2 linked regions of the Lonchura striata genome follow. The protein of the gene in region 1 interacts with the protein of each later gene in a biochemical or structural test. Links are inferred from orthologs where the notes say so. Each region holds a gene or a part of one and is shown in the gene's direction. Other genes may lie near its edges. The genes, in order: CAV1 and PTGS2.

Evidence for each region.
Region 2: the proteins of CAV1 (region 1) and PTGS2 form a complex in vitro, tested with the Homo sapiens proteins (2 studies listed by BioGRID). The link is inferred for Lonchura striata from reciprocal best matches to the Homo sapiens genes CAV1 and PTGS2.

What each region holds. Positions count from the first base shown.
Region 1 is NC_134607.1:34,682,828-34,689,948, reverse strand, and holds the start of CAV1 (caveolin-1), read left to right. Parts: upstream 1-3,952; 5' UTR 3,953-4,076; coding exon 4,077-4,106; intron 4,107-4,871; coding exon 4,872-5,036; intron 5,037-7,121. UniProt on the Homo sapiens protein: May act as a scaffolding protein within caveolar membranes. Forms a stable heterooligomeric complex with CAV2 that targets to lipid rafts and drives caveolae formation. Mediates the recruitment of CAVIN proteins (CAVIN1/2/3/4) to the caveolae.
Region 2 is NC_134611.1:28,632,340-28,640,508, reverse strand, and holds the start of PTGS2 (prostaglandin G/H synthase 2), read left to right. Parts: upstream 1-4,989; 5' UTR 4,990-5,038; intron 5,039-5,391; 5' UTR 5,392-5,435; coding exon 5,436-5,508; intron 5,509-5,619; coding exon 5,620-5,763; intron 5,764-6,189; coding exon 6,190-6,333; intron 6,334-6,713; coding exon 6,714-6,895; intron 6,896-7,700; coding exon 7,701-7,784; intron 7,785-7,936; coding exon 7,937-8,169. UniProt on the Homo sapiens protein: Dual cyclooxygenase and peroxidase in the biosynthesis pathway of prostanoids, a class of C20 oxylipins mainly derived from arachidonate ((5Z,8Z,11Z,14Z)-eicosatetraenoate, AA, C20:4(n-6)), with a particular role in the inflammatory response.

The sequences.
Region 1 (7,121 bases):
CTTAGGTAGAGAAGCAGAGAAGCAGTGACAAAAAGCCCATCCTACATAAGCCTTAAGGAGTGGGTAGTTAAGTCCCATTAATGAGACAAGTTCTCATAGTCTGACATTTTCTATAAAACACATGAACATTTAATAATACTGTAGAACTAGAAGAAAGGTACAGACCAGCATTGACATAGACCACTGTTCACAGACCAGCTCAGTTTTCAAGGTATTTGATACTGAAAAGGGTTGAGAATGAGTGACTAAGTTTTACAGTCTTGCAGAAATAAAGCTTTCTATCTATTTGCCTCTCCAGTCAAGGCAGTTACAAGCTATCTTGATAAAGACCTACAGGGGCTAGCTCTAATAAAAGACTGAGAGCAGAAAAAGCCATGCATTTTGATCCAAAACTGTAATCCCTGCCCAGCTGCCACCCACCAGGAACATGTCTGAACTCAAAAGGCACCTCCCTTTCCCATAACCCCCCACAATGCCTACAGTTTTACTTTTGTCATGCCCAGAACTGCCCTTATTTGAGCAACTTGGCATCTTTCTCATCTAAGCCCAGTCAGAACCCCAAAAGGGGGGCCTTAGACTCCTCAAAATATACTTAACTGTGTATCAGCAGAATAAGGTACTTCCCAAAATACAGTTTCCCAGGAGTGAGTCCAAATGCAGTGGCATGCCTCAGGCAAAAATTGATTTCAGGTTTCTCAGGTGTTGGCTTGAGTCTTCTAGCCCTTAGGCTATTGTGAAATGCTTTGTGGCAGCATCACTTGCACATAAAATGAAATCACTCCTATCTAGAAGTTGTGAGACAGAAGGAATGTGAGAAGAGCTACCCATCTCTCCAGCTATAACTAATCCTTGGATTAATGGCACAAACAGGCCAAATACCAAATGTGTACGTGAACCTGCAGCCCTGTATACTAGGGTGAGGGGAACCTGTCTCTATAGGAAAATTCTGATCCAGTGATTTACATTTTAAAATACAGAACCCCTCCAGAGAGTGGGGGCGGCATGACCACCATGAATCCTCTAGGACTACAAGTCTTTAAATAATGGAATGAGGAAAACATTGGCCTGCATGCTAATCCTATCCTAATGCTTGTTATCATGCACAACAGGGTGAAAACAGTAGCAAGACTGCTAAAAACTCAGTACCAACAGTTTTGGCAGCTAAGGCTTTTATCCAGCAAAACATACAAAACCATACATAAAATGATGTGGTTAAGAGTTGAACAGAAGACACACAAGCAATGATCTTTCACTCCTAAGCCTCAGGTTTTTAAGTGCTCTGCGTAAGGCAGGCTGCTCATGGACTGCCTCTGTTACCTGACAGCCTTGTTGGTGTTGAAACTATACATAAAGGAAACAGTTTCCCAGGGTTGATTTCGATCTTGCTGACATTGGAATATATCAGGAGTGTTGCTAATACCATAACTGGAATAACTACACAAGCTTAAAACAAAAAGGGGGGTGAGGAATGGAGAAAGAAGGAGTGTTTGTTACCTGACAAAGACAGTGAGCAGTCATCCACATTCAAGTCAGTTTCATAACTAATTTTCTGCCAGTTTTTGAGGGGTTTTGTTAAATCCTTTTTTTTTCCCCCACTGGTTTCTGGGAATACTACCCGTAACAAAACTTTTTCTCCCCTCAAAGTGGAAAAAAAAAAATCATAAATTGCACATTGCTCCAGGTTTAGAGCAAGTTTTTAACTAAGGTAATCCTGAGGTTTGAAATTTCAGTAAAAAGGTTTTGAAGCAATAAAAATTTCTTTAAAATAGGTATGAAATGCGTAAGGCTGGCGTGATGAAGAAAGGCAGTGAGGTGGCCAACCAAGGTGTCATGTAGTCCTGCTTAGCAATTGACCTGGACTACTAAAGACACAGCAAAGCTCCATGAGAAGACTGGCTGGTGTTTCAAAGGCCAGTTTGAGTGTTTACAATTTCTGGTAATTTCTGGCCACCCCTGGATAATCTATTCATAGTAACTGAGAAGGGGAATGGAGCCTTTGCACTTTCAGAACATTTCTGCAAGGCTCTTTCCCATTGAGCTATTACTCTTCCTCTGAGTGTAACAGGGGATCCTTGCAGAACTCCTGTGTGCATTCATGCCATAGGAGTTGGTTGTACCTGTGTGCATCCATGCCACAGGTCTCTGGCTGTTGAGTTAGTGTGTATTTCTCATGCAGCAGTGCTAGAGGCAACAGGCCATGGCTTCATCCCTTTCCATCTCTGCAGATGTAACTTGCTCACTCTTACTGCTTAGTAGTACCCATACCTTTTTCTAAATAGCCTATCCTCTTGATATTCCAGCTCCAGAAAGCACTGCTAATGTTCATTTCACTTTGTATGCAGCCTATTCTGGAATTCATCTCATAAAACTTACAAATTCCACTAGTTTATGATATTATTCTAGCTGCAGTAGTGTTGTGTGATTCAGAAATATTTTTTAAAGGGGACTGTGGTTCTGAAAAACTATTCCAGGATCAATTCAGCATTTCAAATTGACAAGTATCTCTCTTATTTCTCTTTCTTTAAAGTCATTCTTGAGATATAGAGTCATATTAAATGATGGATCAAAATGTTCTGATTCATATGGAAGACAGTGACTAATTGAAAAATTTCCTGGATATGAAAACAAAGAACTGTCTTGCAATTTTTTTTTCAGATGGATGGAAAAATTGCAGGGTCTGTGTCCTTTAATACACTCATTTGGGTGCATATTCACGCTAAAAAGCTTGGACAGGCAAAAATATTCTAACAATGGCTTAAGTGAATTATTGCATCAATAAAAAGTTACTTTTAAAAATTACAACTAACTTGGAAAGTTGGAAATCTTCCATCCAAGGCATTTGTTCCAAAGTTTACAAGCAATATAAAGGAAAGTTGACTGCTTACCAATGTATCAGCAACACATGTCCATGTGGACTGCATTTCCAACAGGTGCAGTTATTTACATCTGTGGCACCTAAATCCATCTTAGCCAGGGGCTTCTTCGAGGTCATTTCTCTGTTGAAGCGCCAAAGCCAAATATACTGCAGTTAGGAATTTTCTGCTGCAATTCTGTGCTAAATGGCATAACACTAAGGTCACAATTTTTCTGTTAATGTTATAAATCTTTCACCATAGTCTGATTTCCTAACACAACACTATTAGCTGCAAACACATTCACACAAAAAAAATGAAATATAATTCATTTTTTAAATGTAAAGTAATGCTGCGACACTAACCTTAGCCATCTTGAATACGGTGATGAATGTTTATATTTATACCATGTACATCTACATATGCCCCTGAGCTTACAAAAAGCCTTGAGAACAGAGCATGGCAAAATGGTGTCACACTGTTCCCCTTTAAAAGTTAATCCCAGTGGTTAATGTGCATGGCAGACATGCATGGATCAATCTCTTCCCGGGAAAAATAGAGCAGTGTTAACGTGCAGAAGTGTTAAATATTTGAATAGTTTTGAAATGAACCAATTGAGAAAAATCTCTATTTCTTCATCCCAGGTATATCCAAGTTTTCACAATTGTTCCTACAGCAGCGATGCTTCTGTGTAAACTATTGTCAAAGCCGGCAGAGGGGAGCCCGGCAAACACCTCGCTCGCTCTGGATGCTGAACACAATTAAAGTTTTCCATTTCCTCACTGCTTCCTTGCCCCACCCCCTCCACCCCCCCATCTTGCCCAGGTGGCTCTGCCGCACGCAGCCACTGTCGCGTCCCACTGACGGGGGTGGGGGTCGTGGGCAGCCGGACCAGGGCGGACTTCGCGGAGGAGACCGTGTCCCTCTCCCCGTCGAGTCCCTGTCTCCGCACGGACCTGGGTCCGCCCGATCCCAGGTTGCCGGGGCAGGGCTGTTTTCCCCTCCCACCCCGGCGGCTCCCGGCCGCCCGCCGTGTGCGGGGCCGTACCGCCGCTGTCATCCAGCCCGGCCGGAGGCCGGGACCGCCCTGGCCAGCGGCCAGCCCTCTCCTCGCAGCTACCTCCCCCGGCCGGTCGCTCCGCACAGCGGAATCGTCCTGCCTCCGGTCCTACAAGTCACAGGGCAGAGTAACTCGCGGCAGAGCCGTCAGCAGCCCGCGGCAGCATGTCCGGCACCAAATACGTAGACTCGGAGGTAGGACCACCGGACCATGGGGCTAGGATGCTGCCCCGCCGCCGACTGCCTGCAGCGGCTCGGACCCCAGGCTCCCTGACCCATCGGAGCAGCGGGGCGAGGGGTGGCTCGGCGGCAGGAGGGCGGACGGCCGGGCACCTGCGGGCCGGGGCGGCGGGTCAGGGGAAGCCGGGGCGCTCGTCCCCGGCGGGGCGCGGGGAGGGGAGCTGCTGGGTGTCGTGCGGGAAGAGCGGTGTATGGAGAGCTCTACAGCGAGAGCACTGGGATGGAGAGGGTACGGTGATGGCCCTGAATGAAGGGCGGTATAGAGAGAGGGGCAAGTATAGTGAGGTCAGGGTGGTACAGGCGCCGTGCCCAGGTCAGCACAGCATGGGCGGTAGGGCGAGGGCAGTACGGGGAGGGCGCTGTGCGGCGAGCCCCGGACGCTCCCTGCCGTGCCCGCGGGGCCACGCCAGCGCCCACCCCAGCGAGGGGCCACTCGCTCCGTCCCGGGGCAACGCCGCGGGGCCGGGGCCGCCTGGCGGCGGGAGCGGGAGCCGGCGCCTGGCACGGCGGGGGTGTGGTGTGCGCCCGCGGCCGCGGTTAAATAGCCGGCCGAGGCCGCCCCGCAGCCCGGAGCCCGCGGGACCCGGGGCCGCCTCCCCAGCCCGCCCTCCTGCGCGGACCGGAGCGGCCCTGCCCTGCCCTGCCCTCCCCGCCCCTCCCCGCCTCTCCCCGCCTCACTGGGCTCTCCCCTCCTGCCCGCGCTCCCTCTGCTCTCCGCAGGGTTTTCTGTACACTGCGCCCGTCCGGGAGCAGGGCAACATCTACAAGCCCAACAACAAGATGATGGCAGATGAGCTGAGCGAAAAGGCGGTGCACGATGTGCACACCAAAGAGATCGACCTGGTCAACCGAGACCCCAAGCACCTCAACGACGACGTGGTTAAGGTGAGGGGGCGAGGCGGGGTGTCGCGGGGGTCGATACCAAGTCCTGCCGAGGCAGGATACGCGGGAACTGTCAGGACGGCTGAAGCCCGCGGACCACATCCCTCCACCTGCTACAGGAGGGAACGGGCTAGGGGCTGATCGGATTTTGTTTGGTTTGGGGTTTTTTTTAAAGAAAAGGCGGAGTGGGCATGAGAGAGGCGTGCAGCGGCCAGGGCAGCCCTGCGGAGCTCTTCGCTGCGGTGCGGAGCGGGGCCGGCCGCGTCTCGGGCTGGCCGCGCTGTCCCGCGGGGCCGCTCCGGGCTGGGCTCGCCGCAGCCGGGCGGGGCCCGCGGTGCGTGTGTGCCCGCGGTGTGTGCCCGCGGTGTGTGCCCGCGGTGCGTGTGTGCCCGCGGTGTGTGCCCGCGGTGTGTGCCCGCGGTGTGTGCCCGCGGTGTGTGCCCGCGGTGTGTGCCGGCAGCCAGCTCTGCAGCCGGGACGTCCCGCCCGGGGAGCGGGGGGATGAGTTGCGTGACCTTGTGTAACACCGTCGGAAGGATTTTCCTTCCCCAAGGCACGCAGAGAGGCAGGGCGGGGAGATGTCACAAACCAGATCGCCCTCTCTAAGCCTGGCGGGTGCAAAATCAAGAGATTCTAGTGGCGGTTGGATTCATGTCCTTGTTCTGTTTTGTTCTCTTTGGTGTTTTCCCTTCCTTCAAAAGATGATAAGCAAGCTAAGCAAAATCTAACTGTGCCCTTGCCTAGATTTTTTTTGTTTGGGTTTATAAATCAGTTTGACTGTTTTGACAAGTCAGGGTCGATGGAGATTTTTGCTTGAAGTCACTTTGGTCAGAAATATCACAGAGATTGCTTTTCTTGTAGAAAAAGAATTTATACAGACAAATTTGTACAATCCTTGTGTTATGAACGAGAGTGTTTGAGATCAGTTAAAAAGTCATCGGCAAGGATATGACGAAAAATCAGATTTAATATTAAGTGGCAAAGCACGAAAAATTCATTGGCAAGACTAACTCTACTACTCATAGGACAGCCAAGGCACAACAAGGGAAAACAAGCAACAAGAAAACCAAACAAAATCCAGGCAATCAAAACAGTAATGAACTGAGAACTATATAGGGGTGTGTGCTCCCTTAGGTGTGTGTGTGACAAAAGATAGCGTGGGCAAGGATAAAAAGGAACAGGGCCTGAAAGCTTAACAGCACTCCAATTTTACTTATACCTTAAGCCTAACAATTTAACATAGGAAGAACACTTAACTTATACCTATTTTATAGCTTAAATTTAATTTACAACTTAACCTAACTGTAGCAATTTACTGAGAATAACACTGAAGAGCATTTAACCTAATTCATAATTTTGAAGTTAGCAACTCATCAGAAGAACAACTCTTAGCAACACGTAGCTTATAACTTATGTTTAACAATTTAGCAAAAGAACAATACTTAACAGCATTTAAGTGAGTTTTTAACATAACCTTCCTCACTTGCCTAACTTACTTAGATAACCAAGGTACTTAGACAGCTAAGAAAGCAGTATTTCTTTGATTTGCTACAGCATATGCACAGAGGCATGCACAAGGACATGAGGAGTCAGTGCAAGCAAGGTGCCTGTGAAAAATTCCCCCCAGAGATCAATCAAATACTCACTTTGGATGCTCTTGCATCTCCCAATGGGCAAAGGATTGGGCCTTGAGGAGCGTGCATATTGGCCCAGGATACAGCTTGTTTCAGTGATCCTCCATACATGAGGCTCTGAGAGGCATCTCGCTCAGAGGGAGGTTGCTGTTTGTAGCTTGCTGCAGTCCAGGAGACCTCAAAGGGTCCCATTTTGGACTGCTGTTTAGAGGCTTGCAAGAGCCTATAGGCTTTTGTCATAACAATGTTTCATCCTGTTCAGGGTTTGTGTCCTCACTTTCTCCATAAGTGTGGAAACAGGAATGTTGTGCCATTCAGGTAGGTGGAATATTTTCCAAGGGTGGTCATAAGGAAAACAGCAGCTTGTTAGCAATTCCTGGGAGCAGACAGTGTTTCTGATAAGCTTGAAAAGAGCTGAGCCCAGGTGGTGTTTCCAAAGCCAAGGCCTAACAAG
Region 2 (8,169 bases), on another chromosome or scaffold:
TATGTAAGAAAGCATTACACTAAAATAATTTTCCACTCAGCAAAACCCACCTCAGTTTCCCTTATCCAGTTTAATATCCATGTACTTGAAGCAAAGGAAAATTCCACATGATTGTATTTGCACAACAAAAGAGCATGAGGCTGGATGACAGATTTCACTAAAATTAAGCAGGAAGTTGCTAAAAGAAAATTCAAGCATCTGCACTGAGGAGAGAAGTATTTGGAAATTTCTCTAAGGAGGGTTTTCTGTGCAGGTTTCCCACAGAAAGATAGCCTTTCAATATACAATGAAAGGCTAAATACTTACTAAAAATGGCACAGCAGAAGCAATTACCTTAATGTGAGTTGCAGCTGGTGACCAAAAGCAGATAAAATGTCAGCTGACGTTTCTTTATGTAAGGCAGTTACAAAATCTCATGACGTATTTCAGACTTGCCTGTGATCAAATGTCCACATCCGAAACACATGGAGGCTGTGTGGGGAAAAACAGGGCCTCTGCAAAAAACCCAGGATCACGGGAGCAGGGAAGTTCATGGCTTAACTTTGGTAACAATTGCCAATAACAATTGCCAATAAAGAAAACATCCTTTCCTTCAGTCAAGAAACGATGAAAAATATTTTCCATTTTAACAGATACAGCTTATATAGGAAAAAAAAAATCCCATAGATGAGTGTATCCAAACAAAGTCTCTGAAAAAATTATTCAAAATTTAATAAAAGTTAAAAAAAATATACAAGCCTATTCCAGAGTGTGGCTGCCAAAATCTTATGCTTATCCAATAGTTCATGTTTATGGTCTTCCTCTTTAAATTCACCATAAAAATTAATTTAAAGTCTTGTGATCTAAAAAAATAATTTAAAAATGGGACAGATTGTAGCTAGGATGAATTTTCAGTCAGCCTCTGCCTCAAACTACCATTTAGGATAAACATGTTGTGCTTCATCCTCCATTCATCTACACTCCTTGGATAAAGGTCATAGAGAGCTTCGAGCTGAGTTTAAGTCATTTAGGGCTTGTTTGTCAAGGACTAGTCAGGCAGGACTGAAGTTGTGACTACCAAGAGTGACAATTAGGAAAGGAATCGTCTAATACACCCATCTGAACAAACAAAACACAGTTCTGAAAGCCATTTCTGCAGGGGCTTCATTCATTCATTCCCTTTCATTTAAAATTATGAGGATTCAGTGTCTGGGCATCTCCCAGGGAAAGAGCTCAGCCTTGCTTCGGATCAGGTAGAGATCCACATTTAAGCTGGGCAAAAGGGAGCAATTCTTGTGCTCTTTTCCACTCAAACTGATGTGTGTCATGTCCCAAGCAGTGTGCAGATGCCCTGTAGTCATGATATCATATAGGTACCTGGCAAAGAATTTGCAAAAAAAAACAGGCTGGGAGAAACCTGGGCACCACACAGCACTGTACAGAAACCTCATTTCACGTCTCATCTCTGCAGGTAAATCTGATGTAAAGTCACTCTTCTCACCTGTTTCATTACAGTCTTTGACTCGTAACTGAGTCTGTCAAGAATGCCACAGAATTAAAACAAGAACTCAGAGACGTTATTAAAAACAGAGGCTTGGAAAGGGTTTGTTGAGCAAGGTTTACTCTATGCAGATGTTAATGATAAAATAAAATCTATCATATTGGAAAGCATTCCTCAAAACTCTCACTGGCTTGCAAATAAAACACAAAGTGTGGATTTATGTTTTTTGTTCCAGCAGCTGAAGTCCAAAGGGAAGCTGCTCTTAAAAAGGATAAAAAAAGGGGGGGACTCAAACTTGCTCAGGTCTTGCCTAAGTCAGATGTAGATTTTTGTGCACCCACCTATATTTTTTTTTTCTTGCACATTTTAAAAAATATAATTCCAGGAATAAAAACAACTCCAACTGAAGTTGATTTGGATAACAAGGTATGCTGCGTTTCCCTACACAATGACTGGTGTCCACAGGTGTCCCCCTGAGGTGAGGTCCCAGCTCACCTTCCTATTCCCCCTGCAACAGGTGTGTGCCAGCAGCCCCAGCCCATGCACAAACATTCCTTGCCAATCACTGTCCATGGGATTTCTCCTGAGGGCAAGGCACTCCAGCTCCCAGCTCTCACACCCTCTATATTAATACGTAGTTTTGCCTGGAATTGTTCTGAACAATTCCAAAATTGCGATAGCCTGGAAACTCCATAAACGAGGCACCTTTTTACTGCAATTTTCCTGTGGAAAATAAGCAAACCTCCCTTGTCTCCAAACCAGGTAATGAGTATTTTTGTTTTCCAGCACAACCCAGGATGCCAATGAAACTGGGTCTCAAGTGATCAGAGTGCTCCACAAGGACACAGCAGGAAGACACGGGGAAGTAGAGCCTAGTTGTCTAGCCAGGGTGATCCCCTGAAAGCACAAAGCAATTTCATAATCAAACCCTTCTGTTAATACTGTAAAAGGCAAAATCAGGAGCCTAAAGACATCAACTTCCCCTGGAGATCCCTCAGTTCTCGAGAACGTTGTCGGAGCATCCAGGATTGTCATTGTATCCCTGTCCAATGAGCCTTGGATTGTGCTTGCATTGGGAGCAACGTATCCAAACTGACAACAAATTTCAGATTGAGCTCCTTCTGTCAAAAAAGAGCAGCAAAAAGGCACAGAGCAAATGAAACGGATTCATTTCCCAGGAAAGTACTGTGCTATAAAACATGAGATTGCCACAGTCACGGAGGGAGGGAAAATATTTTAAATACATTAAAAAGGCTAAATTCAGTGCTAATTCAGCTGGGTTCAGCTGACCCATTGCAAAATGGAGCAGCACCAGTGCTGAGGGACAATGTTTTCCCTGTTGCCACTCCATCTCCCTTTCTTTTGGTGGCATTACTGAAGCAAGTCAATCCTTACAGGTCACTGCATCCTCTGTCCTGAACCTTTGCCTTGGAAAGGTGTGAATTTATGCAGTTAAACCTAAAATAGAAACAGGAATAGCTTCAGGGAATTGCCTCCTGTAGAAATGTCAGTAAATGCAAAAAGGCTGAGGTTGACGAAGGTTCTCTGTTCCACAGGCTGCTCTGACCTGGACCAAAAGGTACTTCAAGTAACAGAAAGAAAAATAACATTAATTCTTAGCAAAGATGGTTTATGTGCTAGAAACGCAAAGAGCACTTTGTTGATGCATGAAATCTCCACCTGGTGGTGAATCTTGCCACAGCAAACTTGCATTCCTGAGAAAAATTCCCTTTCCAACATATAATCAGTTCTTTACCCAAGATAATCCCAAAGCAATAAGTAGGGAAGGGCAGCCTTCTGAGAAGCAGCACTATTGTATCTCCCTGATTTTTCACTATTTTGGAAAGCTGAAGAATCCCTTCAATTCTACTGCAGCTGACAGTGACAGTGACACAAGTGACCTTCCCCAGCCAAAATCAGACTCAAGAGAGATCACGTCACATTAACTGCAGCATTGGGTGGAAGCGGGGGGGTGCTGACTGGTTTTCTAGTTGCAGAAGTACTGCTTCTCTAGGAGAAACATCCCCTCCAAAGCCTGGAGTTCTGCCCTGGCTCTTGGTTTACATACTGATTAATTATAATAATTAAAAACTTTAAGCATCATCACTTATTTATATCTCCTCTAAATCATAGCACAGTTACCTTTGGATTATCATTTTAGGGGCGGTTGTCTGGCTGCACAGAATTACTTCAGTTTCCCCCTTAATGTTGCTGGTCTTACACTCTAGAAACATTTTCCTATGCATGTTATTTAAACACAATGTCTCACTTGCCTGATGTTTGCAATAAAGTCTTATCATGTGACAGCATCCGCAGAAGTTTTGTGAGATGGAACAAAATCAGTGTGAGATGGACATATGAAATGTATGAAAATGTGTGTAGACCCTTGAGCTACGGTGCTATGCATGCCATAGCCTGATCCACTGGATAACCAACATTCCATATTTAATTGATTTGGCTTATGCAAGAAAAAATATCACCCTTTTTACACTTGATAAGACTGAGCAAAACGTGGCTGTGGCCACAGGCTCCCAGTTCAACTGGGTTGGCAGACATCCTCTGATGACCCAGCCCGTGGTTTCTGCATGCAAATGTATAAAGAAATATTATCTGCCTTCTCTTGATTATGCAGCTTTTTGTGTACCAGTCTTAAAACATCCAGAAAGACTCACTACTAATGTACACAAATTACTCACTGACCACAATACGCTTTGGGGCCAAAAATAAGATTATGTTTAAATCGGCCTGAATCCACTTTCCGTCAAGCCACGGATTTGCAATTCAAACACCATCAGCCTCTCAAGCTATCCTTGCTGAAGCCACTATGAGTTTTTGGTGTTTAATGCCGACCCGGAGGGCGAAAGTGCAGCTCCGCACTGCAGGGTTGCACAACGGCATGACATCCTCCTGCTTTCATTGTAATCCCTCACGCAACAGGCACTAAAAATAGTAGCAAAGCATTCTGGTTAATAACAAAATAATCTATGACCAAAAGATAACGTATCCTCAAGGAAATTGGGGAAATTTTGTTTACAGCGCAACTATAAGGGGGGGTAGGAGGTGGAGAGTGGGAATTTAACGGAAAAGTACTGGGGGAAAGCCACTATTTGTGCCAAAAATGCCAAATAACAGGAGCTGGTCTCGCCAGACACGCTAAATTCCGTGAAACTCAACTAAAACTAACGTCCCTGCAGCATTCCTTCCCTTGGCAGCGCTGCCGGCTGAATTAAGGCGATGGTGAAGCCGGGAGCGGCGCGGCGCGGGGCCAGCGCCCCGCCGCCCCTCAGCCGCTGCCAGCCCGGCCCTCACACCTGCCCCGAGCGCGGCCGGCCGGGGCGGGCCGGGGCGGGCCGAGAAATCCCCTGCTCTCCCCGCGCTTCCGGGCTAGTGAGTCAGCCTGCCCCGCTCGGCGCTGCCATAAATAGGGGATGCGCGGCGGAGGCCGGCACTTGGAGCTGCCAGCTCGAGCCCCGGGGAGCCAGCCCCGCCAGCCCAGCCCCGCCATGCCGCTGCTGCCCCTGGCCCTGCTGGCCGCGCTGCTGGCCGCCGGCCGCGCCGGTGAGTCCGCGCCGCGCTCCGCGGCGACGCGCGCTTTGCCTTTCTGCTTCTCCTGCTCCTCGCTCGCTTGTCATTTCTCTGCTGTGTGTGGGAGCCAGGTCCCCGCTGGCCTGTGAGGGATGATCTCGCCTTCTGAGCGGGGTTATTGCTGGCAGCAGACGAGAGGTGAATCCCTGCATACCTCACTTTTTCCGAGCTGCTCCCTGGTAGCCCAGAGGTGGATGGATGGTCGCTGTGATGTGATGCCTCCCTGATCAGCGTTGAGCTCCAGGGCGTTCTCGTTTGCTGTATGAAGTCCTGACAAGGTGGGAATTATTGCGGAGATGCTAACCCGAGCTCTGGTTCCCCCGCAGCCAACCCTTGCTGCTCGAACCCCTGCCAGAACAGAGGCGTCTGCATGACCGCTGGGCCGGATCGCTACGAGTGCGACTGCACCAGGACAGGCTACTACGGGCAGAACTGCAGCACACGTGAGTATCGCACACCCCTCTCCGTGGGAATGAAACGCGCTGGCCAATTCCAGCATCGCAGGATAGCCTCCATAAGCTAAATGATAATAACCTGCCCACTGTCGTTCGCAGCGGAATTCTTCACCTGGCTGAGGCTAGCACTGAAACCATCGCCAAACACTGTCCACTACATCCTCACCCACTTCCAAGGAGTCTGGAATATCATCAACAACATTCCCTTCCTAAGGGACGCTATTATGAGATATGTACTAACGTGTAAGTGTAAATTGTCTCTTCCAGTCATCTTAAATTTTACTTCAGAATATTGTACTGAATTGATCTGTCTACAAACCAAGCAGCCTAAATTGCACTGAAGTTAAAAGACCAAAATTTAAGATTTCTGCATGGTGCAGGCTTGTATGAAACATGCTGAAGTGCAGCTTGATTCTGCTTTCTGCAAGAGTTCAGGATTTTGCCGACATGAACTTGGCGCCCCATTGCTCATGTTAATAGTGAGATCCAGCTGATCAGCCAGAATCCAGTCCTGTTATTCAGTAACTGTAATCATATTTAACATCAGTAACTGATATGTGTGGAATTTACACCTGCTGCCAAATATATGCAAAAGATCTGACTTTGTGATTTACTTTTTGAGACTAAACTGTACAGTTAAAAATAACCAAATATTTATTTGTCTTTCAGCAAGATCACACTTGATTGACAGCCCACCAACTTACAATAGTGACTACAGTTACAAAAGCTGGGAAGCTTATTCCAATCTTTCCTACTACACAAGAAGCCTTCCACCAGTAGGACTTGACTGCCCAACTCCAATGGGTGTTAAAGGTGAGAAATAAGCCAGACACGTAATGATTGCTTGGTCTTTTCTAAGAGGAAAAAATAAGTAGTAGTTCCTATGAGACCTGCTTGTCTGTAGCCTTTTTTCTGTGTAGTTGACTTCAGGAATAACCATGTTTTGCATATATTGTTTAAATATCTAAAAGATATTATTCTGGTTCTTGCTATTGAGTTACATGCTAAAAGCAGGGAATTTAGAAATTTCTAATAAAATCAAGAAAGCGAGCTTAGAAAAGTAGGTAATTCTCCTTGTTTGTATGCCACTGTCATTATGTTCCACTGAAGGTCTTAAGCCCTTTTCTTAGGAACAAACTTCAGTATTGCATAAAGGGTTGTCTTAAGTATCTCACTGTCTGTTTCTCCCACAGGTAAGAAAGAGCTCCCGGATTCGAAGCTGATCGTGGAGAAGTTTTTGCTGAGGAGAAAGTTTATTCCCGACCCGCAAGGCACAAACGTGATGTTCACGTTCTTTGCCCAGCACTTCACCCACCAGTTCTTCAAGACGGACCAGAAGCGGGGTCCTGCCTTCACCAGAGCGCTCGGCCACGGGGTACGGTCACGGCTGGGGACGGGACTCGTGCTCTTTGGGAGCTGCTGAGTGCTGGAATGGCCAGAATGGCATCCTCTGTTGCCAGGGGACACAAACACCTGTGCACACACTGTGCCACAATTCCGTGGGATTACCTCTTTCTAACTGCTCCTCAGGCCAAATTCCAGTGTTCGGCAGCATCTCTTCCCGGCTCAGAACCGCGTGCTCTGCACAAGTGGTTCTGTTTGAAATACCTGCCCAGTGATCTCTTATTGTTCCCAAAAATCTGCTTTCAGTTAGATAGTAGTGAGTAGATGGTAGTGAGTATCCAAAACTTCTCTGGACTCTGTCAGTTCCAAAGAGCCGTATCCAGCATTTAAGTATTGCTTATTTACCGCCAATACCCTTAGTTTAAAAAGAACTTCAAAAGCAGACTTGGATTTAAAATTTTCTCTGCAAGATAGGCATCCTTTGGACAAAGAGTTCTTTACTATAAGTGTCACTCTTATGTCCAAACCAAAGTTAAATTGTGTGTGTATATATAGAAAGCTGTCTGCATAATAAAAAATTGCTGACACTTTAAACAGAGTCCTTTTATATTACTGATGTAACAACCTCCTCTTATGCAGAGGTGGCTCCAGTTGCCAGGAAATAATTTGGCTTCATCTTAAATATCGGTGCATGATACTTATAAGGTAGCAGTAGTATAATTGAAAGGTAAACATCTAGAGGGTGAACTCCTATTGTTATCCATAGAAGAGGGACTTATCCTAAAATAGAAAAAAATGCAGGTTAGCTTCATGTTCCAAATGCTTTTATTTTATAGGTTGACTTGAACCACGTTTATGGAGAGACTCTGGAGAGACAACTTAAACTGAGGCTTCGAAAGGATGGAAAGCTAAAATACCAGGTATGTCTTAGCTCAGAATTCCTACCTTCTTACTGGATGGCATAGATTTCCTAAATTAGTGCTGTGCCAATGGTGTAGGTGATCTAAAGTGTGAGTCAGAGCTTACCCAAAGTATCAGAGCTCACAGCTTCTGTTGTTTCCCCCTCGCGCAGATGATCGATGGAGAAATGTACCCGCCGACGGTGCGGGACACGCAGGCAGAGATGCTGTACCCACCGCACGTGCCCGAGCACCTGCGCTTCTCCGTGGGGCAGGAGGTGTTCGGGCTGGTGCCAGGGCTGATGATGTACGCCACGATCTGGCTGCGCGAGCACAACCGCGTCTGCGACGTGCTCAAGCACCAGCACCCCGAGTGGGACGACGAGCAGCTCTTCCAGACCGCCCG